3 linked regions of the Arabidopsis thaliana genome follow. The protein of the gene in region 1 interacts with the protein of each later gene in a pairwise test. Each region holds a gene or a part of one and is shown in the gene's direction. Other genes may lie near its edges.

What was found.
Region 2: the proteins of PAR1 (region 1) and PRE1 interact in a two-hybrid assay, tested with the Arabidopsis thaliana proteins (one study listed by BioGRID).
Region 3: the proteins of PAR1 (region 1) and HBI1 interact in a two-hybrid assay, tested with the Arabidopsis thaliana proteins (one study listed by BioGRID).

Annotation. Positions count from the first base shown.
Region 1 is NC_003071.7:17,834,191-17,845,131, reverse strand, and holds PAR1 (phy rapidly regulated 1), read left to right. Parts: upstream 1-7,513; 5' UTR 7,514-7,944; coding exon 7,945-8,301; 3' UTR 8,302-8,716; downstream 8,717-10,941. Other genes in the region: MPK20 (MAP kinase 20), read left to right, coding at 1,185-1,208, 1,597-2,005, 2,332-2,459, 2,584-2,643, 2,723-2,872, 2,970-3,125, 3,273-3,484, 3,565-3,666 and 2 more; AT2G42865 (uncharacterized protein), read left to right, coding at 9,538-9,618, 9,694-9,861; AT2G42860 (uncharacterized protein), read right to left, coding at 10,485-10,580, 10,695-10,941. UniProt on the Arabidopsis thaliana protein: Atypical bHLH transcription factor that acts as a negative regulator of a variety of shade avoidance syndrome (SAS) responses, including seedling elongation and photosynthetic pigment accumulation.
Region 2 is NC_003076.8:15,952,814-15,963,963, forward strand, and holds PRE1 (basic helix-loop-helix (bHLH) DNA-binding family protein), read left to right. Parts: upstream 1-4,554; 5' UTR 4,555-4,875; coding exon 4,876-5,001; intron 5,002-5,337; coding exon 5,338-5,490; 3' UTR 5,491-5,746; downstream 5,747-11,150. UniProt on the Arabidopsis thaliana protein: Atypical and probable non DNA-binding bHLH transcription factor that integrates multiple signaling pathways to regulate cell elongation and plant development.
Region 3 is NC_003071.7:7,951,088-7,963,202, reverse strand, and holds HBI1 (basic helix-loop-helix (bHLH) DNA-binding superfamily protein), read left to right. Parts: upstream 1-8,463; 5' UTR 8,464-8,756; coding exon 8,757-9,140; intron 9,141-9,218; coding exon 9,219-9,437; intron 9,438-9,515; coding exon 9,516-9,650; intron 9,651-9,739; coding exon 9,740-9,811; intron 9,812-9,886; coding exon 9,887-10,021; intron 10,022-10,112; coding exon 10,113-10,167; coding exon of another isoform or gene 10,168-10,181; exon of another isoform or gene 10,182-10,562; coding exon 10,563-10,657; 3' UTR 10,658-10,799; downstream 10,800-12,115. Other genes in the region: AT2G18320 (F-box associated ubiquitination effector family protein), read right to left, coding at 5,672-5,866, 6,540-6,575, 6,894-6,983. UniProt on the Arabidopsis thaliana protein: Atypical bHLH transcription factor that acts as a positive regulator of cell elongation downstream of multiple external and endogenous signals by direct binding to the promoters and activation of the two expansin genes EXPA1 and EXPA8, encoding cell wall loosening enzymes.

The DNA of each region.
Region 1 (10,941 bases):
CTGGTTTATTACATTTGACAACAAATCTCTCACGCGTCAGAGATGACGTGGCGTTAACTATTCGGATATGAAAAGCCCTGCGTGTTTTAAAAAAATGGCATGGCCCATTGGGCTAGTTAAGTGAGAGTTTGTTTTTTTTTCTACCCCTAATATTACTATATTACACTCATGCCACAACCAAAAGCTAAATTAATATTGTTGTTTTTAATTGAAGGTTATTTGATATACAATATTAATGGAAAAAAACAAAATAATATATATTTTTTTTTACAGCAAAATAATTGAGAATCATATTACCAGAAACTTAATACAAAAAATAAGCTAAAAATTCCTTACAAAAATGAAGATGATGAAATATAGATTGAAAATATAATTTAGCAGTATATACAATATAGCAAATGATAAAGTGAATAAAACAAAGTTTTAGCAACTAAAATTAGCAAAAAAGCTTTTAAGGATAAAGATGATAACATTCTATTAACATTATATCTATGAGATAAGTACGTGACAAAACGAAAGAATTGGATAAAGAAGACATGAATGAATGGCAATAAAGATCAAAAATAGATCATACACTAATAATGACCAGATCAATAATGTCCTAATTAATTTATTAACACTTGATCAAATAATTTATTTTTTCGTTTTACTAATGGGTTGTTTTTTTGGATCACAGTGACCAAAGCAGCTTACCAAACGCGACACTTTAACCTCTATATATAAATCTCCGTCTAGATTCCTTCCTTATCTCTCTCTCTCCTTTCATTTTCACTACTTCTTCGTCTCTCTCTCTCTCTCTCTCTCTCTCTCTCTGTATCCCTTGTGTGTCGGTGATCAGATCTCGTGCCGACGAAAACGTGCGTCTAAAGCAATGCTGTTCGCACTCTGCTATCTTCAATTCCTCGATTTATCTTGAACTGCGATTGTTTGTTGTTGTTTCGATTTCGTTGGGGGTAATTGGGTGAATTAGAGAGGTGAATGAGAAATTCGCCTGCGATTCTGTCTCTGTCGGTGATCGATTGCCGGAGCAGAACCAGGTCGGATTCTAGCTTCGCCATTTGGAGTAGTGGTCGATGGGGCCAATGCGGCTGATCTGAATTTCTATTTCCCTCCCCCCAATTCAGATCGAATTCTAGGGTTCTTCTAATTCCTGGGTTTTTAGTCTGTGTTTCAATTGAGTCACGATGCAGCAAGATAATCGCAAAAAGGTGAAACAAAAACTCTTCCTTTTTTCCAATTATTCCATCCGATACTATCTGTTCTGTCTGAGATATTTATGTGTGTGTTTCGGTTAATCTTGTTTGTTTCCTGTTACTGTCTTTAATCTTTTTGCCGTTTTGGACAACTCTGTTTATGATCAATGAACGTTACAAGTGTCATCAAACAAACAACGCATAATTGTCATCATTCAAGACAAGATGATGTGTTGTTGAGACATTTTTTTTATTTCTTCATCAGCAAATTGACATTCAATTGCATTGATCCTTCATTAGGCGTCCTTTGTAGCATCAGTAGAGAACCTTCTGCATCTGATTCTTGTATAGTGTTATCTCTATTGTAATGTTTCTGACTTGGAAGTAATGGTATTTGTAACAGAATAATCTGGAGATGGAGTTCTTTTCTGACTATGGCGATGCCAATAGATTTAAAGTTCAAGAAGTTATTGGAAAAGGCAGTTATGGAGTTGTTTGCTCAGCTATAGACACTCTTACGGGTGAGAAAGTCGCGATAAAGAAAATTCATGATATTTTTGAGCATATTTCTGATGCTGCGAGGATTCTACGTGAGATTAAACTTCTTAGACTCCTAAGGCATCCAGATATAGTTGAAATTAAGCACATTATGCTTCCTCCTTCACGAAGAGAATTCAAAGATATTTATGTTGTCTTTGAGCTCATGGAATCGGATCTTCATCAAGTTATTAAAGCCAATGATGATTTGACTAGAGAGCATTACCAGTTTTTCCTGTATCAGTTATTGCGTGCACTGAAGTACATTCACACAGGTAGTCTTTTTCTTTTGGTCTCTCTTTATCCGGCATCTAGCAATAGTCTTTTCATCTTCAAATCTCTCTGTGTGTATATATCGCTCTCTCTGTAGATGAAAATCTTGGACACTTGCAAAATGTAGTGTATGTCAGATTTGTCTTTTAGGACTTTACATTCTACAGTACTATCTCATACATTGATGCACTGAATTGGATTCTTGCGGTTTCCATTGTCTGGCTAAATGTTTGCCTTTTGAAGTTTGCCCCAATATATCTGAACTTTAACTCAGCTGTCGAGTTTGGTTTGTTGTATTATATTATCTTATGAATCTTGGTTGTTGCAGCTAATGTCTACCACCGAGACCTGAAACCAAAGAACATATTGGCAAATGCAAACTGTAAACTTAAGATTTGTGATTTTGGATTGGCAAGGGTTGCATTCAATGATACCCCCACAACAATCTTCTGGACTGTACGTTTGACAAGATGGCTCTCTAAGAGTCTTTTCCTTCTCTTAAACTGAAGTTGGTCTAAATATTATTCACTACGTTGCAGGACCTGATACTCTTCTACATTATTTTCTACTGAATTTACAGGACTATGTTGCTACCAGATGGTATAGAGCTCCAGAGCTTTGTGGATCTTTTTACTCTAAGGTGTTCATTTGTTCTCTATATAACATCTTTTAATTGGTGTGTTGCCGCGATATAACTTTTGATGGATTTGGCTTTGTAGTATACACCCGCAATTGACATCTGGAGTATAGGCTGCATTTTTGCGGAGGTGTTGATGGGTAAACCACTTTTCCCTGGAAAGAATGTGGTTCACCAGCTGGATCTTATGACTGATCTGCTAGGGACACCTTCCCTGGACACCATCTCACGGGTATTGATCTTCTTGCTAAACGAAGTCCATTGAGTTTCTACACATCTTAAGCAAGGACCAGTAGTGATGAGTACCCTGCTTTTATGATGTTATACAGGTGAGGAATGAGAAGGCAAGGAGGTACTTAACAAGCATGAGGAAAAAGCCACCCATTCCGTTTGCACAGAAATTCCCAAATGCAGATCCTTTGTCTCTGAAGTTGTTGGAGAGGCTTCTTGCTTTTGATCCAAAAGACCGGCCAACTGCTGAAGAGGTGCTTTTCAACTTCCATATTGACTAACTATCTCAAATCTTGAATTCTCGGCTTCCTGATTGTTTTCTCTCTCTAATAATAGAGTATCATGCATTTGGGGTTTCTATTGGAGTGAATCACTAAACTACTCTTGTATACTTGAATCAGGCACTTGCTGATCCATATTTTAAGGGATTGGCAAAAGTGGAAAGGGAGCCTTCATGTCAACCCATCACGAAGATGGAATTTGAGTTCGAGAGAAGAAAGGTCACTAAAGAGGATATAAGAGAGCTAATTTCTAGGGAGATACTTGAGTACCACCCTCAGCTGCTTAAAGATCATATGAACGGGGCTGATAAAGCCAGTTTTCTCTACCCAAGGTCGTAATTTTTGTTGATTACATTCTTGAGCTAGCATTGCATATCACACCCAGTCCCTGACATTGATGTATACTGTGCAGTGCTGTTGATCAATTTAGAAGACAATTTGCGCATCTTGAAGAAAACAGTGGTAAAACCGGCCCTGTGGCACCTCTAGAAAGGAAACATGCCTCTCTTCCCAGGTATATCCTCATTTTTTCTGTAAAGTCTGTTGTCACTTGATCTGGTTTCGGTGATCTCCTCTGTTTTTGACCCCCGTTATGCAACTGCTATACTAGTTGTATATTAATATACATTGACATGGCAAGGATAAAAAAGATGGAATCATAAGACCGTGACTATCTGTTTCTTGTGTTGAACACTAATTTCTATAAAAATATGTCCTTCTGACTCTGTGTTTGCATGCTTTCAGATCAACGGTCATACACTCAACCGCAGTAGCACGAGGAGGACAACCAAAACTTATGAATAACACAAACACATTGAACCCTGAAACTACTCAAAACATTCCTTTTAATCATGCAACAATACAAGCACAACAAAGAAACCTCTCAGGTACTTTTAATCACTCATCCTGAATCCAACAGCAATGTGTCCAAACTGACCTCTATAAACTGTAAAACATCTATCTACACGCAGCAGCCAAACCAAGCACATTCATGGGCCCGGTTGCACCTTTCGACAATGGCAGAATCAGCAGAGATGCATATGACCCGAGATCATTCATCCGGAGCACTAATCTCCCCTTTTCACAACAATCTGCTGCAACAGTCGCCATGGGAAAGCAGCAAGAGAGAAGAACAACTATGGAGCCTGAGAAGCAGGCAAGACAAATATCTCAGTATAATAGATATGCACCAGATGTAGCCATCAACATAGACAACAACCCGTTTATCATGGCTAGAACGGGAATGAACAAAGCCGAAAACATCAGTGACCGGATCATAATCGACACAAATCTGTTACAGGCAACTGCCGGAATAGGAGTCGCAGCGGCAGCTGCAGCAGCTGCTCCTGGTGGTTCTGCTCACCGGAAAGTTGGAGCTGTTCGGTACGGTATGTCAAAGATGTACTAGTTCTCCACCTAAGCTGGGCTTTCATCACACAGAACATTGTATGTTTCCATCTTCATGTCATAAAAGAAAATTGTCTATGACACAAAACCATATGAGCAAAAAATATTTTTTTTATTAATTGTGATCCATCATTTGTTTGTTTTTTCTATTCCGACAAATAAATAAATGGATGTTAGATTCTGGTATATATAACAAGAAAGGTTGAGAGTTTTTCACGTTTAAAAGAACCGCTGGCTACAGAAGATGGATCAGTGTGGATGCGCATGGTGATGATGATGATGGTTTCATGGCACATCCAAACGCATGTGGTGGTGGGAACCCATATCACAGGCACCACTTTGTTCTTCCAAATGTCAGTAGAAACAGAAAGGTGCATTGTCACTTGATCATATCTTTAAACCAACCAATTTGTGTATATATTTTTGTGTAAACAGTTGAGTTCGCTTACTTTCTTCCTAAACAAGTTATTTCTTCTACAAATTAATAAATGAGCACAATGAGAGATTGCTGTTCAATAAATAGTATCTCAAAATAGAAATATCAAAATAAAATTAGAAAAAATCATTTAAAGATTATTTATTCACTTCTATTTTAATTAAAATAAAAATAAAAAAATTTGGGATCTTTCTTCTTCTTTCTGATTATAAAGTTTTTAATAAAATAAGTTTTAAAGCAAAAGAGAGATATAGCAAGTGAAAATGCATGTACAATTGAAAAAAATGCAACTAAATGAGGCCAAGAGAGGAGACAAATAAGGTTAGAGGTGGACCCAAAAACCACTGTATGCATTGTCCCAGAGATCACCCATCATGGTAGGTCCACCTGTGTGGCCCATATCTCCAGCCTTTATAGAAAAAAAGAGAAGATAACTAATTAACTTCCCTTGATTTGGAGTTTTTTAGCTAAACATTACATATTTTCTTTCTTAATCTTCCCCTTTCTTAATTCTTAAAAAAACATATACTGTCTTGTCTTTAACCAAACTCTTCTCTTTTATTTTTGTGGCAACAAAAATAAATAGTGAAAGGGAATCATCTCAAACTCCTCCTAGATATAAATATTTAGGTTTTCGTCATTAAATAAAAGTTATTTTGGAAAAAATAGAAACAACGAACAAGATACAAAAGGACATAGAATTGATTATTCCAAGACGACGAATGTGAAAGCTGGCTAAAAGCTAAAATTAAATTTCGAGTGTGTTATTTTTGTAACATATTTAATGTAAGTGCAAATACATAAATAAATAGATACTAGAATTGGGGAGAGTGTCAGTTTGGTAGATGGTGAAATGCGAAAGGCACCCGATTTTTGTAAATCTCAATCCCGAGAAACCAAACCCTCCTTCGTCCCCTCTTTGGAAACATCATCTCTTTCTTTATTTCTCTCTTCCATCTTCTTCTTCTTCTAAAACAACATCTTAACAATTTTTAGTATTACTAAAAACCCTAGACGTAAAAGAAATGTGTTATTCTGTTCCTGATCTTTGTCTTAATTAAGACCATACATTATTTCTTTTAATTAGATGTCAATCATTATTCTTTACTAAATTTTTTTTCTTGAGTAGATTTAGGTTAATTTGCAATCTTGGATTAAAGACCTACAAAAATGCAATTGTTTTTTTTTAATGCAATTATTTTTTATTAAGTCTTTATCTAGTTTTTATATCATATAGTTGACAAAAGAAATGCACCGGAGGGCTCATTTATGGAACCAACATTAAGTAAGATTTACTATAACGGTTTTATGTATAAAAGATGTATATTATAAAGATCTCTAGCTAGAAACATGTAACACTATATTCGAATCCAATAACACTAAACTTCCTTGGCTTTCTTCTTGTTATATAGTGGCCATTTCTCTAACATTATAGATATATTGAGATTGTTGTTTTTACGTGGTAAGAAATATGGGATGTTAATTGGAGTTTCTTTTAATAAGAAAAAGGAGTTGACAAAAAAAAAATGAAGGACAGATTTAGGAGGTCACTGAGGTGGGGGGGACCCAAAAAAGGGTTGACACGTGGCCACCATGCCCGATAGATATCATGTGGATCTTAGTAGGATTAGGTCCTCAATTGTACGAACAAGTTCACTATCTCTTAGAGGATCTATTTGATCTCATCCATCTAATAATAATACTATATTACAGTCTGTACATAATGTATAGAGAGGAGGAAGCACATGGGAATGGGGCTTTGAAGATGGAGATATTCATGTGACCCGCACATGTCCTCTCCTCTCTCTTCCTTGTTCCCATGCAAGTAGTGTCTCACTGTATCCTTCTTCTTTTCCTTCCTTATCTCCACGCGCGTGGTCGTTTTCATTTCGTCCGTACTACGTAATTACGACAAAACTTACTCTTATACCATCAGGCATTAGTCCATTACCAGGCACCACCCGAATGGCCTATAAGCATAAGTGCATAACTATAGGGTTTGTCGTCGTCTACTTGAATTTTTCTTTTGGAAATTTAAGCTCACATAAAATAGTTTATACTCTTTATTCTTGTTGTAGAAAATAAGACTGGTAACTATGCAAAACAACGTATAGCAGCTATTACATTTATGGCTAAACCAGATCACAAACCATTTAGAGTTTAAATTAAAGTTCGAATAATATTTTAGCAAGTAATCCGGCTTGATAAATAAATGAGACACTTGCTAAAAGTAATCCGGCTTGTATTAACAACGCATATCCTAATACAATAATAAAGCATTGTTGTATAATTAGTTAATTACTATGTCAAACGTCTAGCTCTTAAACAAACAAATTTAACGTGCCAAATCTCATTTATCAAACAAACAAAAAAATCCAATCTAGATGCGAGGTTGATCCACTTAAGTGAGTGATGAGTCCACTAAAGTCTAAACCAGTCGACATGGCGCGTGAAAGCTCTTCTTCTAAAGATCCAAATCTGTGGAAGCAACCAAAGTAAGAGATAATTAAATAAATCTCCACAATCCGAAACACGAGGATAATAAAATTAAAAATAACGCACAACTGGACCCAGCTTTGATGGCAATACCGCTCATTTAACCATTTCCCAATTTCTAAATGTAGAATTTATTTTATATCGTTTCAATTTTTACATCGTTTTTTATAGACAAACCAAACCAAAATTCGTTCATAACCGAACCTTTCACTAATGTAAGCAAACAATGTAACATAAAGCATAGCAAACCAAATCAAACCGATAGAGTATTGTCTCTAAACTCGCAACAAACCAAAATAAAATCAGGTTGAACCGACCACATTTCAACATTTTTGTCTACTAAATCCATCATCACTCATATATATATATATAACACACACAGTTACACATATCCACATTCCTTACTTGTTCATTATTCTCTCAGACTCATCATTCATCTCTCTCTTTCTTTCAATGGAAGAAACTCTAGCCACTCCCGACGCCACGAGACGCTCTCTGTCACCGTCATGCTCAGCCACCGTGAAATCACGCGCCGCTGGTTTCGAGCGCAGAACCAAACGGAGATTGTCAGAGACTAACGCAAGCGTACGTGAAGACCGAGAAGAAGCAGAAGAAGAAGAAGATGAGGTCAAGGAAAAGATTGAGGCGTTGCAGAGGATTATCCCCGGAGGAGCGGCGCTTGGTGTGGACGCGCTCTTCGAAGAGACAGCTGGTTACATTCTGTCTCTACAATGTCAGATCAAAACCATTAAAGTCCTTACTTCGTTTCTTCAACGCATAGATCAAGAAGACATGAAGTTCGGAGGTTGAAGATTATCACACCAAGACTGCTCTTCTTTCTTCGATTCCTAAAAACAAAAAAAAACGTTTTTTTTTTTCAAATCTTTTATTTCCTTTTTTATAACATGGGATTTTAGCTTTGATATATGAGGAAAGAGACTCAACATTTTTTTCTTCGAATTTTTTTTTTCTTTAGTAGGAGTATAATCTTTAATTTTAATGTTCTGATTTATTTATTAAGCCGTTTCACGGTTATGAGAAGTGTTCATTAACGAAAATTAGCATTAATTAATGTAGTTATATAACTTATTTTAGTAGGACGCCATATAGTATAGATATTAAATTGGATCACGAGGTTTCACTTGCATATGAGATTTGACATTAATGATATTGAGAAAGTTAATGTTACGTGGCCCATTTTTAAATCTGGATGAGCTCATTTCACATGCTTTATTATAACAAAGATTTCCAAAGTCGGTCGATATTTATTTAAGCTTATGATGAACTTACTAGATTTGAGTTCCCGTGGTCCAACAATAGAGTTCATGTATATTCCTTGTACATACATATACAAGACAAATCTTTTTAGTCGTGTAAGTACTAGAGCTAGCATCTACACAGAAATTTAAACACATTTGCCGCTAGAAAAAAAACAATATCAGTTTTAGTATTCATTATAACGTAATTTCTGACCCACAACAATGCAGCTATATCGAACTCTATGGAACTATTTACTCCACACATAGCGGAAAGTCGGGGAAGATATAATTTTCTTACCAACCCTATCTACTCTCTATCCAAATTACATTACAAAGATGAATTTAAGGTTGAACATCGTATAGTACGAAGTTGTAATCAATAATGTTAACTTCAACATCCTTTACCAAACCAAAATTTAAAATAAAAACCATTGATAGATTATAACTAATCACATCCTGTATGGGCTAAAAGCCTAAAAGATTACGATTCCACATGTTTTTTGATTGCCTTAGTTATGTTATAATTGGGCTTAACATAACTGGGCCTGAACCCATTAAACACTAAGAGGTCCGTACAAAAAAGGATTCGCGGCAATATTGTCAAGTGTCAACTACCCTCGGAACGACTTCTTCACTAAAAGTTAAAACTTAAAACCCTAAATCATTTTTTTCTGGTGAATTGAAATAGAATTCTATTTCAAGGAATTGGAGAAGAAGAAGCAAGAATTGACACGGGATAATCTGGAATTGAAGGAGGAGGGTGAGATTACTGAGAGAGATTGAGGAGATGAGAAGTCTGGAAGTGGAGATGAAGCAGAGGTGTGGAGAGATGGAGATTGAGATGAAGCAAATAGAAGAAGAGAAGAAGGTTTTAGAATCTATATCGACGGGAGCTGTGGAGCTTGAGAGTGAGTATTCAGGATGATCTTATCACTGCGTTGAGCGGCGAGATGAGACGGTGACAGAGGTGGCTGAATTGAAGAAATGGTTAATGGAGAAAGGTGATAGCTTTGAGAGTTATGAGAAGGAAGTAGAGAGTTTGACGAAAGTGAGAAGTGATATTGAGAAGAGGTTTAGGGGAATTGCAAGTCTGAGAGGAAGCTTTGAGTGAATGGAGAAGAAATTGAAGAAGGTTGAAGAAGCTAAGAAAACGCTAGCTTTGTTGAACGAGAGGATCTTGGAGCCTACTAATGGAGTCAGAGCTACAAAGGATGTTGCTTGCGATGGTTATGGAAAGATTTACTTGGAAGGAGAATTACAGTGGCAGTGGTTGCTGCTGGTTAGTGGCAGCGACATTGTTCGGATGCTATTCAAAACGAATGTGATTCGATAATATGGAGCATAGGATTAGCTGAAGACCATAACGTTTTGCAGTTTCACAGTCATATAGGTGCCCAAGATTTTGCTTGGCTTTGGTTTCGACTTTGTGATGTTTTTGGTTGTTTTTGTTTGTTTAAGGTAATTGGTTATCCTCGCTTTTAGGCTAAAGATGTGTAGTTGCTTTTCTTTTCAAATGGTCTGTAGTCTCCTGTTAACTAAATTACAAAGAGAAACATTTTTCTAAAAGTTTGCTTGACAGTGGTTCATTACATAGATCCTAAAGAGAAAGTGAATATGAGCTACTTACTACTATAAACCATTTTGTGTTGGTTACTAGAACAACATGTCACGTCTATATCCTTACTTACTGCTAAAATCCATTCATTGGAGGTCGATTTTCCTCGTATCTGAAATTTATGGATCAGCAGCCCAGAGAAGCTCGAGGAGTCCACAGCAATTTCTCCATGAAGTTGGTTGCAGCATGGGTTGCTTGAGACACAGCAGAGGCATCTGAAACATTTAACGGATATTGTCTTAGTTAACAAATGATAAGAGCTAAAGCTGTAACTGAATTGTTGCGTATGGAGAACGTTATATCATACCCCACCAATTTGGATTACAAACCTGGTTTTCATCTTTAGGTACAAGGGATTCATCTTGATGAGTTTCAAATTCTTCGACATGAGCTGAAACCGGTAAGGATCCGTCAAAATAATACCTGGAAAGGCTGGAATCAAGGTCTGAGTTACTAGATGAGTCCTCGGTATCCTCATCTGAAGCTGATGATGACTTGGTTCCTTCAAGAATCTCGTTGCTATCATTCAAACTGTGGAACATTTCATTTGTTTGTTCTGTTTCTGCAGAAGTGTCT
Region 2 (11,150 bases), on another chromosome or scaffold:
TCTATCAAAATCTCAACTCAAAACCAGAGAATTTGTTCTTCACATTTTAAACTAAATTTTCTATTAAATTCCTGTCAAGTAACGATGGCATACAATTTCAACATAAACTTGAATAACAATTGCAATTAATAGAATTAAGAAATGAGTAAGTTTAATAACACAAGAGTTTAAAAGAATTTGTAAAATCTCTACTTGAATAACACCAGAATTTATGATTCTATTAAATTCTATCAAACTCATGCGTCCAATACCCCCTCTTAAACGATTTCAAATAAGATATCCTTTTCTTATTTATGATTATCAGATTATGTAAACAACATACGTAATTTTCCCCACCACATTTGTAGAGTGATGTAATTCCCGATCTAAGGTAAGACTAAAACAATATAATGAATAGATTTAGTTAGATAGTAAAGCTTTTTTGCTGTTGATGAGCATGAGGCTCATTGTTTTGGAGAAGCCTATGCAAAGCATGATTGTGTAATAATTATGAGAGAAAAATGGTTAAAGGGGACCATGAAATATATATTGGTCTATACCTGGACCATAATGTGTTACGTATTCCTTATTATTAAGAGTTGATACCTACTATTGAAAAATATACGAGTGAAAAATCCAGATCTTCGTGTAGATATATCATTTAAATTCCTTTTTTTAACTAGATAAATATACCAAAGTAAAAAATTTATTTACTATTGAAGTCTTTTCTTTTAATAAATTAGAGTCACTCAGTAAAAATGATTTTTTTCTTAACTAGATAAATATATCAAAATAAAAAAACTTTATTACCATTGAAGTATTTTCTTTTAATAAATTGGAGTCACTCCGTAAAAATGATCCTTAACTTAATTGTAAAGTATTTAATTTAACTTAATTGTTGGTTTTGCCATTTTTTGAATAGTTTGTAGATTTTGTATATTTTAAGACAACAAAAATGTGATTTAAGATGCGTTTTACTCGTTTGGATTTAATCATTTTAATTTATATAAAAGACATATTTTTGCAAAAACAATTCGTAATATGTACACTTAAGTGTTAAAAAATGGCAGAATTCGTAAACTATTCAAAATATTATTGTTAGATTTTTTTTTTAAACGGCATTTTAGACAAGAATCCCTATTTACCTAGAGTCTTCAATTTGAATTTAGAAAATATGGAATTAAATTTAATGTACTTTCTTAATGATACTTACTGTAAATAGATAGAATTACATAGATGTATCAGTATCTTCTTAATTGCCATTGTAGTAACACGGCAAAAGTCTACCGTTTTACGTGTGTGCACACACACTACACAATCTGTCGATGCTTTGTTTGTGATGTGATTATGTGAATATATGATGGCGAAACAATTCTTATCAAGGGACATGTTATCCGTGGAATTTGTTCGACATTTCCAGCGTAATTCGAATACTCATGCTAAATCCAGAGAAACATTTCGCAGTTATAAATATAATTGTTGGACATCTTATGTGTGTTGTATATTTCGACCTGATCAAATATTTATAAATATAATTGAATAATTCAAATCTTTGAACATAGAATCGAAGATGCCGTTTTGACGACTTTTTCAATGTTTTTTTTTAATTGTTATTTTATTCACTGCGAAGATATGATTGGTGCCATTAATGCATATTATCGTACTATAGTGTTTTTGTAATTCATTGGAAAAAAAAAAAATTGCTCAACTTTTCCAAAGTGAGTTTTTATAAATTACTTATTTAACGAGTCCTTCATTTCCACATGATTACTCGTGTTTTTTACAACATGTTTGTAAAGATGTGAATTAATTGCGAAAAAGTAGACACAAAAACATTGTGGAGCCTATGAGACCAAACATTTAGTACCCGAACCCACATGGACTAACATGTAAAATCTCCCTTTGCAATTTATTAGAATGGTCACTTTCTTTAATAATCTTGTATATATAAAACACACACACACACACCAACACACTTTTATATATATTCTTGTATTCACACATATAAGAAAAATTGATAAATGTTTTCTTTAATTATGTGCTTTATTAAAAAATTGTATGAATTAATGTTCTCGTTGAATTTTTGTGGTGGATAGATCATTGACATATATATGGTGTACTTACTATACTGTTGTCATTCTCTTGAATTATAAGTGTGAATTTCATGTCGGATGATATCGGTTAGAGTAATGAAATGTTTGGCTATATAACAAGCACAACGATGGAGAAAATAATTTTCTTATATATTTAGTATATATTGAGCAAAAAGTACTTTTAATAAGTAACGTAACGTAACATTGATTTCGTTAACTATGAATATAATCCGATCCATGTCATGCAAACCTGTCGGAAGAGAACCATTCTCACTTATATTTTCTTGTTGGTGAGAATATATTAAACTGTTATTGAATTACTAATGAAATAGAATGTTGTGATAAATTAATACACCACACAAACGAAATATTTTGAGGGATAATGAGGGATTTCGAAATTTATATAACCTTTCATAATAATAATAATATGTTCAAACAGATAATTGTATTCGACTGTTACATACTTGTCGGATCTTTATTGATAATGTTATTGGACAACAAGATATCTAAAATTTTGATCTTATGGACCCGAGGGCAGCATGTAACACGAGACATGGTGGTGACACGTGACATAGTCGATGTTTTGTGAACATTTATATAAATTAATACTCAACCAATAATGGACCAATCGAACAATTAAATTAAGTTATATGAGACATGCGATTTTATTCACTTCAAAATAAAAAAATTCTTTAAATAAATTATTTTAGGCAAAGTGTAAGTGTGCGAAGAAGTTTGAAATAAATGGTCTGAACGAAGTTTTAAAGCCGATAGATACGTTTCTTTTAAGCATTTGGTTTCCTTTTCACGTTTTATAAAAGAATTAATTATGGATTTACCATTTTTTGAATGATATTTATGGATTTTGTCATTTTTTAAATAATTTGTGGATTTTGCTCTTTTTCAGTCTAAAAAATGAAATTTAGCATAGCTTTTATTCGTTATATTAAGGTTTAGTCGAGTTTTTTTTTTGTTTTTTAAGTTTAGCATTTAATATAAAATACTTATTTTTGTAAAAATAATATCGTAAATACGTACATTTATAAGTACTAAAATGACAATTTCGTAAAATTTTAGTAAAAATGACTTTTTCAAAAGATTTTGATGAAAACGGCAAAATCAACAATAATCCTTTTATAGAAAATATTTGTTTTATATCTACTATTTTTAAGTTACATTGACATTCTATAATTTTTTAAAAGTTATCACACGAAATATTTTACATATGAGGTGAAACTATTTATGGCTTAGCAGTTAGAAAACAATGTTCCATAGGAGTCAATAATTAGGCTTCTTCCTTTCTAAAACAAATGTAGTTAGTATGGAAGATAGAATTTACATAATTCTCTCTATGCTTTTTTATACAAGTTTGGAACTATATATTTTATACAAGTTTAAAATATATAGTTTGGTAATATACAAGATTTACAGATAAATATACAAACTGTACCTAGATATTGTGGAATACAAATTTAGAGAGACAATTTAGGCGATAATACTAGTTCTAATATTAGAAGAAAAAAAATTGAATGAAAAGTCATGTCATCACATGGTAGTTGCCTTTTTGTGAAATTGCAGATGAAGGGCCACAATGTTAGATGAACATGAAACACTTATCTTGACCTTCATCAACCCCATCTTTGGGAACTTTTCGTTTCCTCCATTTAACTATTCAAATCTCCTCCAATTATTCAAAAAATTTAGTACCCATTTATTTATCCACTCTATAGGAATTATACTGTAAAATTTTCAATAACTAAGCATATGTATATTTGTGATCCATTCTAGTCATAATCATTTTCTTTTTTTTTGGATAGTTGAGGCATAAAAAGTTGGGGTTTTGGTAAAACAAATCCTAAGAGAAATCTATTTTTGTAATTTTACCCTCTACTTCTAAAATATGCAGAATAATCATAAAAAAACAAAAATAATACGCAATATATTCCTTATACATATATTGTAAACGTATTCACGATCACATACATTTTAAAAAATCTAAATTAAAGAAGAGTTGAACTCTTTGTCTCGAGGGCTTCGATTTGATATAATACTTCTCAATTTTTTTAAAACTTGACGAAATCTGACAATAGCAAAAAATGTTATATTGCGTAGTATTTTTCACTTTGTAAAATTATTCTATATTTTCTGAAAGTAGAAATGGACGATTTCAAGACTTATTTTCCACAAAATCCTAAAAAGTTACGAATCTTGAAACTTGTGTATCATTTGAACTATACACAATAACTAACTAACCATGATTGAAAACGTTGTGAAATAATTCAATCCCGCCATTACCTTCGTATAATGATTGGTAATAGTCTCGACTGATGATATGTATATATACGGCTTGGAAATCTGTAATAAAAAATGATTTCGAAGTTTTGTGGTTTAAGGGCATTCAATCTATCGCTTTCTTCTCCCGTGACATCATTGTCGAGGTTTATTGCTGCTCTCCGTCGCTCTCTCTCTCTTGTGGTCCATTGGCCTATTTAAATCTCTCTTATCACATTCTCAATTTCTTTATATTTGAAGTGTATTCAAAACCCCAAAACACTTTTCTCATTCTCTTCTCTATTTTCTTCTTGCTCTCTAGTTTTTCTTTCTTCTTGGTCGTTTCCTTTCAGCATAAAAACCTTATAAAATCATAAAAGCTTACACCTACTTGCCACATAGACATAGCCGATCTCATTATATCTCTATTTCTATTTCTCAATAGAACTTGTTTGAGCTAGTGTGAGAGAAGTAAAGAAAGAGAGAAGAATCCACAACTTAGTTAGGGTCTTTTCTTGCCACATTGTTGAACATGTCGAACAGAAGATCAAGGCAATCTTCAAGTGCTCCAAGGATCTCCGATAATCAAATGATTGACCTCGTATCTAAGCTCCGTCAAATTTTGCCGGAGATTGGTCAACGACGTCGTTCTGATAAGGTATCACGCATAATATATGCATATATTCATTTATAACGACCATTTAACATTATCCATCGTGTAAACCTATCCAAAAAAGGAAAGAACAAAAGTTTTGTAAAAAGAAGAGTGGACACTAAAATCAAACAAGAAAGAAAAAAGAAGTCGGAACTTTTGACTCCGGACATTAAGGAACATATATACCAATATTCACAACCTTTTTCTTCCATATTTACATAAGAGATTACATCAAAATCATCAGCTTGCATGCATCTGCAAACGCATAAAAGCGCATGCATTGGTTCAAAAAACATATATTATAATGATTATGATTTTATTTCGTTTTTGTTGTTGAAGGCATCAGCCTCGAAAGTATTGCAAGAGACATGCAATTACATACGAAATTTGAACAGAGAAGTTGACAATCTGAGCGAGCGTTTGTCTCAGCTTCTCGAATCTGTCGATGAAGATAGCCCTGAAGCCGCCGTTATTAGAAGCCTACTCATGTAATCTTTTTTGTTCTTTTGTTTGTTTTTGACAAGCCTATCCATGTAATCTTAAATGATCGCTCTATAATAATTATATTTTTAACATAATCGTCTTATTATGTAAAATTCAAAGAGATGGGCTTGATCTTTAATGACATACGAATTTCATAGGGTTAATTCCATAGTCAAAAGTCTCCGACATATATGTGTGTAGCAGAACTGCACGAGCATTGCCTTAGCAGGTGCATTATTAAAATAAACCAGTGGGATGAAATTTGGTGGAGAAGAATCTTTCTTTTTTTCTCCCTAACAAAGAAAAAAAAAACAGAGATTGTGATGTCTGAACTCGATTGTGTCAGTCAAGGACAGTAAAATTGCGAGAGGACATTGTTAGTTGCGAGCATTTAATTTTATACGGAATAAAAAAAGTTATTTGGCACATTGTTTTTGAGGTAACAAATCATCTAAACCTCAAAATAGAGATAAAAAGCAAAAATAGAAATAGAAGACAAAATCAAATAAACTCTTAGCCATTTTGGAGGGGAAAAGAAACCCCATCTTAACTGTCACAAAAACGTTTATACACATCTAAAGGAAAGTTTTGCCTTTTAGGACGTCCACACAAAGAAATTAAATAAAAATCAACGTTATAGTTTTATTTGATATCTCATAATTCTACATGCATGTAGTTTAAAGTTTAAACACACGTATACGCATATTGATATACATGCACCCATGTACATACATTTAGACAAGTTTGGTCCTTTCAAGGCGTAGGAGACTGGTCAAATCTATCACTCCTAATTTTAAGCCATATAGCTATACCGGTTTGGTCCTTTCAGGGTTTAGGAGACTGGTCAAATCCGACTCCTAATTTTAAGCCATATAGCTATAAAAATAATCACAAGAAGAATTACATGAAAAAGGAGAGCATTCAGAGACTAGCTTTGTTACACTCTTCCACCTAAAACGATCTTAATTTTTTTTTCTTGTTACATAGATACAATTTTCAGGTCTTGTACCCTTTTTGAATTATTATTGTAAAATTTTGAGATATACTAAATAGAATAATTAAATAGCGGAAACGATTTAAACAATAGAGCAATAACGAAACGACACAATATTTAACAAGGTATCGGTTGGTTCTCTTTCAAACCAACCACTAGTCCTCGGCTGCAACAAAAGTTTATTAGATCACTTCAAGAAGTAAAAGATATACTTAGAATTTCTACAGTAAATTCAAATACATCTGTATCTAAGAACATGAACTAAGGTTAACAAGTAAACTCATTTTACTTCCCTTTAATCATGTATGAATTCTTCTTGGAGAAGTCTTTCCAAGGTGATCTCTCCCCAAACTCCACAGCGACACAAGTTTCACACAAACTTATCAAACACTCTGTTTTCTATTTCTCTGTTTTAACAGCAATCTTTTGTATCTTGAAAATTGGAGATGATGCTTGCAACACGTTGTCCTTATCCACCACAAAAGCAGAGTATATATATGAATATGACTCTTACAGAGAGCATCAAGGAAACAATTTGGATAAAAAGATTGCTATAATAATTGGTTCTTTGCAATCAAAATATGAAGTGAACTGTGACAGTCCAAGAGCTATATATGTTTGTCTAAAAATATGAAACGGGAACATATAGAAGTTGAGCTACACTTCATAAGGGATATGACCAAGATTGGTACTCTCTGGTCAATCCTACTGACATATTGTGTAAGGACAAAGTTGTGTAATGACATCAGAAGCAGGTAAATGAATATTAGATGTAACCGTTTGTCGAGGTGGAGATTTGTTGATTATTTCAACCAAAGACTCAAGAAGCTTAGAGAGTGAAGCTTTGGTTATGGAGGTTTTAGCTAAGTTAGTGTAAACGTCATTAAGTTATGTTTTCTTTATAGTAAAACAGGCTAAAACAATATAAAATACAAATTACAGTACTCTGTTATGTTTTTTTTTTTTTAATCAATTTCCAAGATACTTCCTACACGGGGAAACAACTTTTAGAATCTTTCTCCCATAAATAAAGTTCCTTGCGAAACACGTCGTTGGACTACCGAGGTCCAATGGCCGAATAGGTTACTTCTGCCACAGTCCAAGATTCTTCGTTTCGCTTCTTTCGTGACGAGGAGGAACCAGTCTCAAGTTGACTTTTACGGACTAAATAACCAGGCGGTCCAGGCGGAGCGATCTCTATTGTGTCGCTTGCGAACATGACAGAGATTGATAGCATCGTGGGCCTATCCTCAGCACATTCTTGAACACACAAGAGACCAATCTGTATGTATCTTTTAACTTGGTGTTGTTGAAATGTTGATGAATCAAGGATAATTTGATCTATGATTTCGAGCCCTTTACCTTCCTTCCAATTCCTCCATATCTATTCATCATAAACAAAGCTTTAAGCGTTTATATCAATCACAATAAAAAATATAAAAAAAAGACGAAAATGCTTTGGATGATTATTACACTTACATATGTAATAAGACTTTCGTCGTTCTCCGAGTATCTATAAAAGTCTCTGTTTTTAACCCCAAATATAATCTCAAGAAGCAAGACTCCGAAGCTGAAAACATCTGACTTTGTTGAATAAATCCCTTCCTCCGCGTATTCCGGAGACATATAGCCGCTTTGTCAAGCAACAAGAAACACAATTGTGAGGTTTTGTAAAGTGTTTGCTTTATTTTCAAATGTAACGATGATAGTTTGTTTGCTTACTAAGTTCCGACGATCTTTGTTGTGTTAGCTGCTGTCGCACGCTTGTCGAAGAGTTTACTCATCCCAAAATCTGATATCTTCGGAACCATATCTTGGTCAAGTAAGACGTTGCTCGGTTTTAGGTCTCTATGGACAATAGGACGCCGCGAATCTTGGTGAAGATATAAAAGTCCCCGAGAGATTCCATTAATTATTTGGACCCTCTTCTCCCAGTTTAGCTTAGAGCTTTGGTTTTTGTCTAAGAAAATGTCACAACCAAAATCACATTAGTTTCTTTTCAATAACTCTTAATACAACTACTTAAACTGTGAGGCACTAACCGAATATATACTTATCGAGGCTGAGTTTTCCAAGTACTCATATATTAAAATCATCTCACCGATCATATGGACTCTCCGATCATTCGTGATAAACCATGGATAATTTTTGGAGATTTTAATGAAATTTTGGATATGGATGAGCACTCTCGAATGGAAGATCACCCAGCAGTTACCTCCGGTATGCGAGATTTTCAGTCTTTGGTGAACTACTGCTCATTCTCAGACTTGGCATCTCACGGGCCCTTTTTACTTGGTGCAATAAGAGAGATAATGACCCAATTTGGAAAAAACTGGATAGAGTTATGGTGAATGAGGCTTGGAAGATGGTCTACCCACAATCTTATAATGTTTTTGAAGCGGGAGGGTGTTCTGACCATTTACGGTGTCGTATCAATTTTAAATATGAACTCTGGTGCACAAGTGAGAGGAAATAAGCCTTTTAAGTTTGTGAATGCTGTGGCCGATATGGAGGAGTTTAAACCTTTGGTGGAAAATTTTTGGACAGAAACAGAGCCTATACACATGTCCACGTCGTCCCTGTTCCGGTTCACTAAGAAGCTCAAGGCTCTTAAACCAAAACTTCGAGGCTTGGCGAAGGAAAAAATGGGCAATTTGGTGAAAAGGACGAGAGAAACCTATCTCAGTCTTTGTCAGGCGCAACAGAGTAATTCACAAAATCCATCTCAAAGAGCTATGGAAATAGAATCGGAAGCTTATGATCGTTGGGACAGGATAGCTAGCATTGAAGAGAAGTATCTTAAGCAGGTATCAAAGTTTCATTGGTTAAAGGTTGGGGATAAAAACAATAAAACTTTCCATCGCGCAGCAACCGCTAGAGCAGCTCAAAACTCTATTCGCGAAATTCAGAAGGAAGATGGTAGTACTGCCACAACTAAAGATGATATCAAGAACGAGGCTGAAAGGTTTTTTCGAGAATTTCTTCAGCTAATCCCGAATGATTATGAGGGAATAGCAGTGGAGAAATTAACATCTCTATTGCCTTATCGTTGTTCCACAGCGGAAAAGGATATGCTCACTGCAACAGTTTCAGCAGAAGAGATAAGGGGAGCCTTATTCTCAATGCCAAATGATAAATCTCCGGGTCCGGACGGTTACACTTCTGAATTCTACAAGCAGGCATGGGATATAATTGGTGCAGAATTTGTTTTGGCAGTCAAATCATTTTTTGAAAAGGGTTTTCTACCAAAGGGTGTTAATACTACCATTCTAGCTCTCATCCCAAAGAAACTGGAGGCGAAAGAAATGAAAGACTATCGACCGATATCGTGCTGCAACGTCATTTATAAAGTCATCTCAAAAATCATTGCAAATAGATTGAAACATGTTCTCCCGAATTTCATCGCGGGAAACCAATCTGCATTTGTAAAAGACCGGCTCCTAATTGAGAATCTGCTATTAGCCACAGAGTTAGTAAAGGACTATCACAAGGACACAATTTCGGGTCGATGTGCTATTAAAATCGACATTTCGAAGGCTTTTGATTCTGTTCAGTGGTCATTTCTTAAAAACGTTTTGTTGGCTTTGGACTTTCCACCGGAGTTTGTTCATTGGGTTATGCTTTGTGTTACTACGGCTTCTTTTTCGGTGCAAGTCAATGGAGAATTGGCAGGCTATTTTCAAAGTTCAAGAGGTCTACGTCAGGGTTGCTCTCTTTCCCCTTATCTATTTGTTATAAGCATGGATGTTCTATCAAAAATGCTTGATCAAGCAACAGAAGCAAAGCAAATTGGCTACCACCCGCGGTGTAAAAGTATTGGTCTGTCCCACTTGAGCTTTGCTGATGATCTCATGATCCTTTCGGACGGAAAAGTTCGATCTATAGAGGGTATTGTGAAAGTTTTTGACGTTTTTGCTAAAAGTTCAGGTTTAAAAATTAGTATGGAGAAGACAACCATATATCTAGCGGGAACTTCAGAAGTGTCTCACCAATGGATCAAAGACCGGTTCAGTTTTGATGTAGGGACTCTACCGGTGAGGTATTTGGGACTCCCTCTAGTAACCAAATGCCTAACGGCTGCAGATTACTTACCTCTTATAGAACAGCTTAAAAAGAAGATTGGGTCATGGACAGCTAGATTTCTTTCCTACGCCGGTCGCTTAAACTTGATAAGCTCGGTCCTATGGAGCATTTGTAACTTTTGGCTTGCTGCGTTCCGGCTCCCGCGAAAATGTATCAGAGAAATCGATAAGTTATGTTCTGCTTTCCTCTGGTCTGGTCCGGATTTAAATTCTCACAAAGCTAAGGTAGCTTGGGACGATGTTTGTAAGCCGAAGAAAGAAGGTGGACTCGGTTTAAGGTCTATAAAGGAGGCGAATGATGTGAGTTGTTTAAAGCTGATATGGAGGATACTCTCTCGAGGAGATTCTTTGTGGGTAAAATGGGTTGAGACTTATCTTTTAAAGAAGGAAAGTTTTTGGTCTATCAAAGAATCGACAAGCAAAGGTTCATGGATGTGGAGAAAACTTATCAAGTTTAGGGATATGGTGAAGTAGTTTTGCAAAAAAGAAGTAAACAATGGCCGCAACACTTTTTTGTGGTATGATGACTGGTCTACCTTATGCAGGCTGGTTGAAATTGCTGGAGATAGAGGGACAATAGATATGGGGATCAG
Region 3 (12,115 bases), 9.9 Mb from region 1:
TTAGCCCTCTAAAACATGTTCATTCGTGGGTGCCACGGAATAACATTCTTTGACAATGATATGTTCATTTATTAAAATGAAAAATTAATCAAGATGATTCCTCACTAACCAAACCATTTTTTTCTTTTCTTTTGTGCAGCCTCTTGTAAACTAGTTCATCTTGTGTAAATCTCTTTGATCTCTTGGGATGATTGAGTTCTTGAATCGAAGTTACTGGCTGGCCTAGAGATGTGAAAAGAAGTACATTTATCAAAGAATATTCAGGTGTTCTTGTCTTCTTTTTAATTTTCACCTTTGAACATGGTTAGAGAATCGGACTAGTTCTCCAAATCTTGGGATCTTATCTTCGAGAGATCTTCTGCGCCTTTCTTACGCTTGTTGTGCTTCTTTGTTTAAAACATTTATCAATCCTCAGATTCTTCGACTACAGAGAAGGTGAGAAGTTATGGAACTTTCGTACCTAAAGTTTTACTTTTTAGTAAATGTGTTTAAGCCTCTAACTTTGCGTGGTAGCTCCACTTGCATGTAGCAGTTTTTTTTTTTTTTTTTTTGGCAAACTTAGCAGTGTTTTATTTGTGACCATTTTCCAACCATGTTGTTTTTTTTTTTTGACAGCTATATGTTGGTTATTACTTATATATGAAAAATAATTGAGTAAATGACATTAAGAAAACAAACATATATGGAGTTATGGACTCTATTTTTCTCTGAATATTTTGCTTTGTACTCTTTTTTTTTTGATAAATAAAAATGCAAGAGATATTAATTGTTGAATTGAATATCTAAATATATATTTATTTAAATTACAACATAATAAATAAAAGATTTACTAGTATCACGGGTTCTTTTCTAGTTTCAATAATACAAGTGTACATTTGGGGAAACTAAGACCATGTACATGAGTGATATTTCTATAGTATCACAAGTCCAAAAATTATTTTTATATTAATAAAATAATTAAAATGAACTTGATCAGCTCAATGATGTTTTTGATACCAGTATCATGTGACGTGATATCCTCTGATTGGTCGCATTTACCAAAAAGGAAAAAAAAAAAATCTATTAAACAAATATTATAAATAATATTAAATTATTTTTAATGATATTTTATAATTATCACTTATAACCATGTTCTAAGCATTGTAATATCATATTTCTGTATGAGTTTGACACATAATCGATTGAAAACATATAACGACAAAAAAACACGAAAACAAATACTAATTATTTTGAGAAACCGTGTCCATGTGAAATCTCACATTGTCATTAAGACTCGCAATGTTCGGATACTCAGATCTCCTTGCCACCTCTGAGGTCATGTCTTGCTCGCTTATGATTCAAAATCATTGTCGTCGATAATGACCATCATTCATTGGTTTTGGTTCATGCATTCGCAGACCATATAACCTCATACTTTAAGTATGTTATTTCACGTACACATGTAGCGGTATAGGAAACTTACCTTGCGATCCTCGACTTGAACAGGCGCTTATGGCCTTGTCCTTTGAACGGATGTTTAACACATTTGATTCAACAAATCAAACGGAAGAGTGTATATTAATAACGATTCTTTCAATGATTTTATTCTTCAATCAACTGTTATCACTTATCATATGAGTGATTTTCTCCGTTATATGTTAACTAGATTTTAACCCGCGGTATACCGCAGAACGATTTATTTTTTAAAGGTAATATATTAAAACTTGCAAGTTTTATTTTTATAAAATATTTATATTTTACAGTTTATAATTGTTATTAAGTAACGCTATACCACGAATCCATGAGACAATTGTTAAAAAGCTGAAGTTTTAACCCTTATTAAAACAGCATATTAATAATACTTTAAAATTTTATAAATATTGATTCAAATACATCTACCATATAACCCAATTCCAAAATAAAACTCGTTCTGTAATTTCTTTACCCGTCCCGTATTTTTTTATAAAGTAGTAATTTTTAAAATTTAAGAATTATTTATTATATATAAAAGCTTTACAAATTGTATCATTATCTAATACATTTATATTTTATAGTTTAATTTTATATATAGTAACATTATACATATCAGTATACTACATAACATTTTTGGTTTTATATAATCTTTTCTAAATTAGGATGATTTGATATGTTTCATATTACTGGTCTTAAAAAATAATAAATTAAAGATTTAACCCGTATTGAAACGGTGGAGTAATTATATTTTATTTTTTTATTAATGTTGATTCAAAAACCCGTCCCTCCAAATCCGTCTTGCCAAAAAGCCATTTATTTTATTAATATTAATTTTATTTATGATATGACTATATTTATAATCTAAACATTTTAGCTAATAACATAGGAGTGCACCATATTTATTTAATAGAAGAATGTACCATATGACCCGAATACACTTATACCCAATTCCACCAAAAAGTCTTGCAAAAATACTATAGAGATAAGAAACGATAGTCGGTTTTGATAGGTATAAGATTAGCAAATATATTAGTTAGCTTAAATTACTTAAGTTTATCATGATTAAGTGCTTTCTGGGTCGTCTCATACCTTATAAATTCGTCCTTAATCTCAACATGTAAAGGGGCTTGAATCGGTATTTTGTTTAGGGAGAAACCCTACTAAGGAAAGGATGTCCGACACCTCTTTCTTCATTTATCATCAGAATGGAATGGAATGAAAGCCAAGCATCTACTAGCTGCCTAGCCAGTAAGGGGGAACGCTCCTGCTTAGTACAACCAGAAAGAAAGAATGCAGAGTAAGGCCGGGAATAGGCTTCGTAAGAGGACTGTTTGAGGTACTTTGGAAGGACAGTTACACCCATGCCAGCGGAAGACTTAGGATAAGCGGTCACTACCATCTTATTACTATGGGCTAAGCAGATACTATCACCTTAATAGCAGCAAAGAGCCATAATTGAATCACGAGGCTTTAGCTCCGAGGAAGTTTAGAACAAATTGAATTAGAATTGACGTAGCGAACCAAGCCTCTGCCATTTCAGAATCTCCTTGTAGAAATTGTAATATAGTATAAAAACTTATATAACACAGAGATTTGATAATTTTTTAATTGTTGAATACTTTTTTTGTGCTAATTTTTATGTGATTAAGATTTAATTAATTTTATATATTAAATATTAAATTGTTTTACGAACTTATTTGTTTATAATTTGGTAACAGATATATATTTGAATATTCGGTATATTTTGCTTCAGTTTAGGAAATCTTTGATGACCCGTCTTTAGATCCAATAAACTTTATAATTAAGAAATGAATATTATAGTTAAATGATTTTGGTAATCTTAATGACGTCATTAAAGGATTTTGTTTTTGATTAAATTTTTCTAATGGCATTGTCATGTAATTAATTACAAAAATTAAGGTTATATTTAAAATGTACTTCCCAGTGGACATCTATTTTATGGGATGGAGCTATAGAATCTAGAGTTCTTTTTTTTTGCTGTAGACATTCATTTGTAAAAGTAAACGTACATGCATATAACAACAAATATATGCGTCTAATAAATGAAATAAAGGTCCACATGACATAATAACATGCTACAAAATAAAGTTCACATCTCTCATAACATTTAAATGAAAGATAAAATTAAAACTAACAAAAAAAACTACATTACTATTTTCTTAATTCAATTGTGTCATCTACCTAATTCACTCATTAAATTTTGTTTTGTGATCAACATTTTACTATGATCCACCTCGTCATGTGCTACTCGTATTGGGTATTCGTTGTTGTTCTATAGCCTATATGGACCAAACTTCGCTGCTAAAGTAAGGTTTTCTTATTTTATTTGATCAGATTCCAACTTTACATGATCCCTTTGAAAAGTTCCACAGTCGATGTTGTTAAGATGCTCCCTCGTACTCACATGCCCACGTAAATTATAAAACATTTAATTATATGGAATCTTGATTTTTTTTTTTTCAAATTTAATATTATTTGTCAGGGTTCGAGTTTTCCCAATTTCAACTATCTATGACCATCCGTAAACGTTTTCACTGACCTGAAATTTTTATAGATTTTGGAAGATTATATAGTAAGACTTTGGATAGTCCTCGGTTAACAAAAATAATAAAAAAAAATGAATCTTTTAATTTGAAGATAATGAAAATTGTTTAGAAACAGTGGTTACTATGATTTCACCTTTTAAAGAAACGAAAAAAACGAATTTTATTCACTTTTTCATAAAATAAGAATTAAAATTTTAAAATATATATAAAGTAATAACTTTGTTAAAAACTTCATTTTAATTGTACAATTTATTGATCAAAACATTTAAATCTAGTGGTTCAGATTGGTATGTTCATTGTATCATCATCCAAAATTCAAACCCGCATAATGTTATCTTCATGGTTTTTTTTGTTTTTAGTAGATAGCATATATCCAAGAGTTTTATGTAGATTTTTGGTTATCGAATTTTCGACAGCAAAATTTAATATATAATTTTTAGTTAAATTTCATAGAGCATTGGCTTAGCCATCATGAGAAAACAATCTGTAAGATAACTATTTGAACAATTTAGCCTTTTTAATGTCGACTTAAAAACCCCTTAGGAATCAAACACATGCATGTTTACTGGTGGTGGCGCTATGAAACTAGTTGTGGGAGTGTGGCAACAATAAGTTCTTCAACTTTTTCTTGCAAAGGAATTTGCATTAGTTATTTACCATATCTGGTCCAGATCATAATTATTCTAAGCTTTTGAATACTTTTTATTTTAAGATATAAACTAATTCAATTTGTCTCGTAATCGAATCAGAAGCACAAGGATTCGTCCGGATAGAAGGGTATTTTATTTGGTGCCTATTTTTTTGATTAAAAATAAGTAAATGTTGATATTGAGGTTTGTAGTATAGTGTTTATATATATTTATAGACTATAGTGTTTCAATTCTATATATTTATTAATACAATTTAATTTTTTAGTCCTCGTTGAAGTTGGGAAATTATGAATGAAAGAAGGATTGTCCAAATAAATAAAACTGGATTTCGACTTGGTCACTTGGAATATTGGATATATGACATGCAATACAATGTCGTCATAGAAGGAACTTGTGACCATTTATTATTATTTTGTTACATTTGTTTCACACGCACTGTTGATTACACTAGGCTTGACTTCATATGTTTGCATTGGATGTAAGGCCCAACATCGAAGCTTGTTTGTAGTCGACAGTTACTTCCTCTACTTTGAAAATTAATGTAAGCGCAACATTGACTTCATATGTTTGCATTGGATATAAGGCCCAACATTGGATGCTACACTTTGAGGTATTACTATGAGTACTAGAACTTTGAATCTGTTCATCATGCCGATTGCTTTCATTTCAAAATTCGAACATATCACCTTGTCTCCAACTCAAGCTCAAAAGAAAATAATACAAGAGTTTTCAAAATACTACTTATGACCAAAATTAATATTATATTAGTCTTGTTTAAAGGACATTGCAAAAGAAAAGGAAAAAAAAACGAATGAAAGTTGAGCTTTTTTTATTTTCTTTCTTTCTAATTCAAAGAAGAGTTATAAGTTATTAATAAATTGTAACTCTTGTTGTTTCCTTTTTGACTAATAGTGTAGTGTTAGACCTTGTTGTTAACTTGGTTCGCTTTCACTTCTTCTCTTTCCTAATTTTGCTCTTCCTCTTCCTTGATTTTCACTAAACTTAGCTTGGAACATAAGAGCTGGAGCACACAATTGGGCAAGAAAATGTTCTAACTTCTCCAAGATCCAATTTTTTCAAGCATATATTCTCTCCAATGATGTAAGCATATTTGTAGGCTTGAGATTCATCTAACTCAAAAACCACGAAGACTTTCTTCTCTTCATCAATGAAGAAACCGCAAGTCTCTTCATAAAACTGAAAATCAAGAACAGTGAGTGGTTCTATATCAACTTTTAAGAAGGGGGTCCACAACACCACTTAGGGCTCAATCTTAGTTATAATCCAAATCTCTATCACAGGGATTGATATAACACCGAGAGTTTCTCTTCTTTAACGCAAGATAGAGTTTCATTATTGTTATCATCCTCATGATGCTGAAATGGCAGAGGAAGAACCTGTCCAAATCTCTCTGCTGTAAAATCAAAACATATTAAGAAATATGGGGTTTGAAATGGATCACACCCTTTCATTCTTTCTTGAGTCCAATAGTAAGTATTTCCGGTTATTAATACTTAACCCAAACCAGAGAAGTGTTTGGATTGTGGGTTAACCGGTCGAACTGGAGGGTCCGAATTGGACGTGAAAACACTGAAAAAAAAGTAATCTATTTGTGTATCAGACTGTTACACATAACAAAAAAACATATAAGCTTTTGTTACTGGCATCGATATTGTTATTACAACGGTTCTGTTTGATATTATCAGTAAACAAATTAGAAAACTTTTTATCAAAAAGAAACAACTTAATATTGTTAGACAGATACATCTTAGATGTGAGAAACCTTAAGAATTATATCATGACTTGTATTTTTTAGGAAAAAAATCATTAATGCAGCCAATGTTATAAAGTTGATTCAATTTGGTCCAACTATGTAGATTGAAAGTAATGACTTTGTGCTATATTGCTACATGTATAATATTAACATAACTAGCTAACTTTTTCACAATGGAAAACTTATAAGAACTTAAATCCAAAAAAAAAAAAAAATCGCTCGTTTTGCAGTTCTTATGAATGTGATTGAAATTTGGAAGTGGGTAAACTTATAACTTTAATAGTATTACAACAGTGAATGGAGAAGGACACTATTAGGGACAATGTTCCACATCGGAAGTTAAGTAGGATCTTAAGTGGTATATATAAGATAGCGGCCTCTCCACCTATTGCCAATTGGTTTTAGGTTGGAAGCCCACACTCTAATATGGTATCAGAGCCCGATCCGCACATACTCAACCCGATCCACATCGGTCCGGCCCAATACTTGGCCCGCCGATCCATGCCCAAACATATCGAGATCAATGGCTAGAAGAGCCATCATCTCGAGGGGGCGTATTAGGGACAATGTCCCACATCGGAAGTTAAGTAGGATCTTAAGTGGTATATATAAGATATGGGTCTCTCCACCTATTGCCAATTGGTTTTAGGTTGGAAGCCCACACTCTAGTAGACAGAAGAATATGATCAAACACTCTGATCAAAAGCAATGGTCTCCTACCTTCCAATCACTTATCTTCAAACCCATTGTTTTCTTTATATATTTTAAATATATTTTGATGTCGCTTTTAATTATTAACATGTCATGTTATAGATTAATTTCTAAAATATTCAATGGTTGGTGGTATACTGTTCTTTGTTGTCTTGCTGTATTATCTATCTACTCATGGATTTTCGTTTGATTCTTTTATGGAAAACCCAAGATGACAAGATCTTTTGCATGATCTTGTCTTGTGTCTTTATTTCAAACTAACTGAATATAGTTAGTTATATATTATTGTTATCAATAAGCTGGAGTAGCTCAGTTGGTTAGAGCGTGTGGCTGTTAACCACAAGGTCAGAGGTTCGACCCCTCTCTCTAGCGATGTTTTCTTCTTTTCAGTTTTTTTTTTTTTTGTACTGATACAATTACAATTTACAACACAAAATACAAACTATTAGACTACATGTCAATAATGTCATGATGCAAATTTTGCGGTCAAACTTTTTTTAATATAAGTTTTGTTACATGGATTCAATGTAGTTTGTTTGGGTTTTACTTTGTAAGTAAGTTTTATAGAAACAATCAATTTTCTGAATTTTAGTTTGGATTGAATTCAATTAATTTGACTATTCCAAATGTCAATATATGTTAAGGTCTCACTCATTGTTTATTTTTTCCTTGTAAAGCTCCTCTCATAAACTTGAAAGGGCAAAAAAGAAGAAGAAAAAAAAGAAAACATAACACACACAAAGAAGGGATAAAGAACCTCTAAATTTAGTGTTCATAAGGACATGCCCACATGGTGTGGGTTATGTCACTTAGACCCTACACCTTCTCCTCTCACCTTCTTTGCTCCCAACCTTTTCTTTTATCAATTTATGTCCCTCTCTCTCTTAGATACCGAATCTTTACTACTATTTTCCGCAATTTGTTCTTGAGCCTCTTTTTTCTCCTAGTCATAGTCAAGTGTCTCTAAACGATGGACCCGATTTATCCACCAACGCTAACGTTTAATCTATCTCACTGTCATTTGTGACTATCACATAGCTACAGTACGACCATTTTCGTAAACTTATCATAAAAGATCGGTCTCAAATCCGATACAAATGTTATGTTGAACATCTACGTAAAATAGAAAACTATTGTTATTGCTATATATTTTTTAAGGGATACGTATAAAAAAGTTGTGGCGTATAAAAAACGTGTGGTACCATTTTGAATTGGTAAGAGAGTATTTATTTCTAGAGAGGTAAGAGATAACAAATAAGTAAATGAAATTTCTACATTTATAAAGGAAAATAAAATAAAAACATAAGAAGTAGGGGACCTTATGTGTGTGGGTCAATGTTGTTTTCTATTTAAAGCTAAGAAGAATGATTTCAATGGATTAGTTTCTCCCAACTCTTTCATCTTTTTTAAGCAACCACCCAAAAACAATATTACATAACCTAAATCTCTACTTCTTCATACATTTATAGCAAATCCTCTTTTGCTTTAAACCCACCAAATAACTCAGAGCTTTTTTGCATTTTTTCCCATTCTCTATTTTGTTTTGTACTTTTGGTCTCACTTTAAAAGATCATAAGTTGAAAGATTTCTGCAGAGAACAATATGTTGGAAGGTCTTGTCTCTCAAGAAAGCTTGTCCTTAAACTCTATGGACATGTCTGTACTTGAAAGGCTTAAATGGGTACAACAGCAACAACAGCAACTGCAACAAGTTGTGTCCCATAGCAGTAATAATTCACCTGAACTTCTTCAGATACTTCAGTTCCATGGAAGCAACAATGATGAGTTGTTGGAGAGTAGTTTCAGCCAATTTCAAATGCTTGGATCTGGTTTTGGACCAAACTATAACATGGGTTTTGGTCCTCCACATGAATCCATTTCAAGAACAAGTAGCTGCCATATGGAACCTGTGGATACAATGGAGGTTTTGTTGAAGACCGGTGAAGAAACCAGAGCCGTTGCCTTGAAGAACAAGAGAAAACCAGAGGTTTGTAAGATCAAAATTTTGGATAAAAACTTTGTTTTGAGACATGGTTTTTGATATTTTTTATTAATAATGTCTTAGGTTAAGACAAGGGAAGAGCAAAAGACAGAGAAGAAGATCAAAGTAGAGGCTGAGACAGAGTCAAGCATGAAAGGAAAATCAAACATGGGAAACACTGAAGCATCTTCAGACACTTCAAAGGAGACATCGAAAGGAGCTTCAGAGAATCAGAAATTAGATTATATCCACGTGAGAGCTCGTCGAGGCCAAGCCACTGACAGACACAGCTTAGCAGAAAGGGTAATAAAAATAAATAAGTTTCTTGTGATACAAGAATCATGATATATCTAGGGTTTCTGAATGGATTTGGATTTGCAGGCGAGAAGAGAAAAGATCAGCAAGAAAATGAAATATCTGCAAGATATTGTGCCTGGATGCAATAAGGTCACAGGAAAAGCTGGTATGCTTGATGAGATCATCAATTATGTTCAATGTCTCCAAAGACAAGTCGAGGTAAGCAATGAAACCATGATTCTCTGTAACTTAACTTCACTATTAACCAAAGAGAATAAGTCTAATTCTTAAAGAGCCATACTTTGCAGTTCCTGTCGATGAAACTTGCTGTCTTGAACCCGGAACTAGAGCTTGCCGTGGAAGATGTATCCGTAAAACAGGTGAAAACACATTGTCTAGACCCTCAAAGTCATATTGATATTGCTCAACAAACTTAAGGGTTATGAAATTTTCAGTTTCAGGCTTACTTTACAAATGTAGTTGCTTCAAAGCAATCAATAATGGTTGATGTGCCATTGTTTCCGTTAGACCAGCAAGGATCTCTAGATTTGTCTGCGATAAACCCGAACCAAACGACATCTATCGAAGCTGTAAGTACAGCTTTATATGAAACTGAAAAACTTGTCAGAGTTTTTGTTCCTTGTCAGTGAAGTAACCTGTCTCTGTATCTCTCTATTTCAGCCATCTGGAAGCTGGGAAACTCAATCACAGAGTCTCTACAACACATCTAGCCTCGGTTTTCATTACTAAGCAAGATTCATTGAAACAACATGGTTGACATCAATCAATCATCAAAATCAGAAGCAAATTCTATTACATTTGCTCATCAAAGTAGTAATTTCGAAATTTGGTTAATGCATTATCCTTTGATCCTTGTTTTCTGATATTTAAACCAGAAGAACTGGAGATAGCAATCCAATGATCTTGTCACCATCAATCTTTGTGTATAGATTATATAGAGAGATAGATAAATATGTTTTAGAGGAGTTATAGATATATATCATATTTGTAGAAGAAAGAGAGAAAACTCTTGTGGTAATTACAATTCTTGTTTGTTTTTTTGGATATATAAATATCTAAGAAAATTATAAATCGTTTTCCTGTTTTTTTTTTCTGCAACGAATATCTAAGAAAACTCTTGTGGTAATTACAATAAAATATCTAAGATTCTATTGTCAACGAAATGTACCCATCAATATGTTCCCATTCGAAGGGTATGGGTATAGAGTTATTAGGTCGCCATGATTTTTTATAAATCGGTGGAAGAATACTTTTGATGATCAAAGTAAACGGTATCTAGGCAGCCAATTAATCAATGTCGATTTTATCTTCACATAAAATTTTATTCATTGAATACAAATTATTTTCTAGCTATTTAATTTATGTAAAATTAAATCGATCATAAGAAAAAAAACTAATAGCTTAAACAGATGTTGTCTTTAGTTATTTTGATACAAGATTGCATTGTATTCTTTAAAAATTCATAACCAACATCATGGCGTTGAATTTGGATGTTGAATCCGAATGATGACTCTCAATGCACATTTAGATGAAAAGAAAAGAAAAAAATTTCGTTTGGAAACAGCTCATCGACTATTCACAGATTCGGGAGAGGTTATTCATTTATTCTTCTATTTTCTTGCTAAAGATTAACCATATATTCGAGTAGGATTCTTGTAAAAAGCAAACATCATCAAATGTGAAGTATGTGTCAAATAAAATTTTGTCAAATAAAACATCATCGAGTAGGATTCTTCTATTTCTATTTTTTTTTTGGATATTAGTTAGTGTCAAATAAATTTTTGTTAATTTAAAAACTACACTAGTAAACATTTTTATAACAAATAAGAAAATTGGATTCTCGAGTGATGGCAAATTCATGAATTCTTTATGAAATTGGTGAACATATATAAAATCGGACGTTGTTTTAAATTTGTTTCATTTTTAATTCAAAGAATGATATTTTAGACGTTTGATCATTGTTGTCTTGTTGATGCTACGATTGCATTCAAACTCTAGTTTTCATTACATTCAAAATATATCTAATTTTGCATTCGGATGCACCTACATATATAATTTTACAAAGCCAACAACATTCGTGCATCTATATGAAGAAACCAAAGATCCCTTAAGTTTCTAGCTTATTATTTTCTTTTCCAACTTTATCAATGCACTACAAAATCTACTACACTATGCTACTATAGTGATATGTATAATGTTACTGATGCTGACACAAGCTCTCTATATATTTATCACAATATGTTTTCTAAAAGTAGCTTTCAAGCTACCAAGTGGGTCAATGTTCTTTTCTCATATCAATTTTTCCAACCAATGATCTATTCATGAACTGTCTGATTTTGACAAGATCTATATGATAAGATATTATCCATAACCAAAAATGAAATTGGAAGTAGTTTTTTGAAGGTAGGAGTAGTTAAGAGATTTGAGAGGATCGAAGAATGAAGAATCTGAACCACAAAGAGTGGGCATCATTGTGGTTGCAGAGATTTTTAACCAAAGTGGACCTTCTTTTGTTCTTTCGGTTCCATTGAATTTTATCTTCCTTCATTTTTGAAGTAGTTGAAAATCTCTTCTATATTATTTTCAAAAAAATTCGAAAAGAAACAAAATTAGAGAGGTGTCGTTATCAAAAATAATGAAAGTCTTTGTTATTTCTGAAGTTA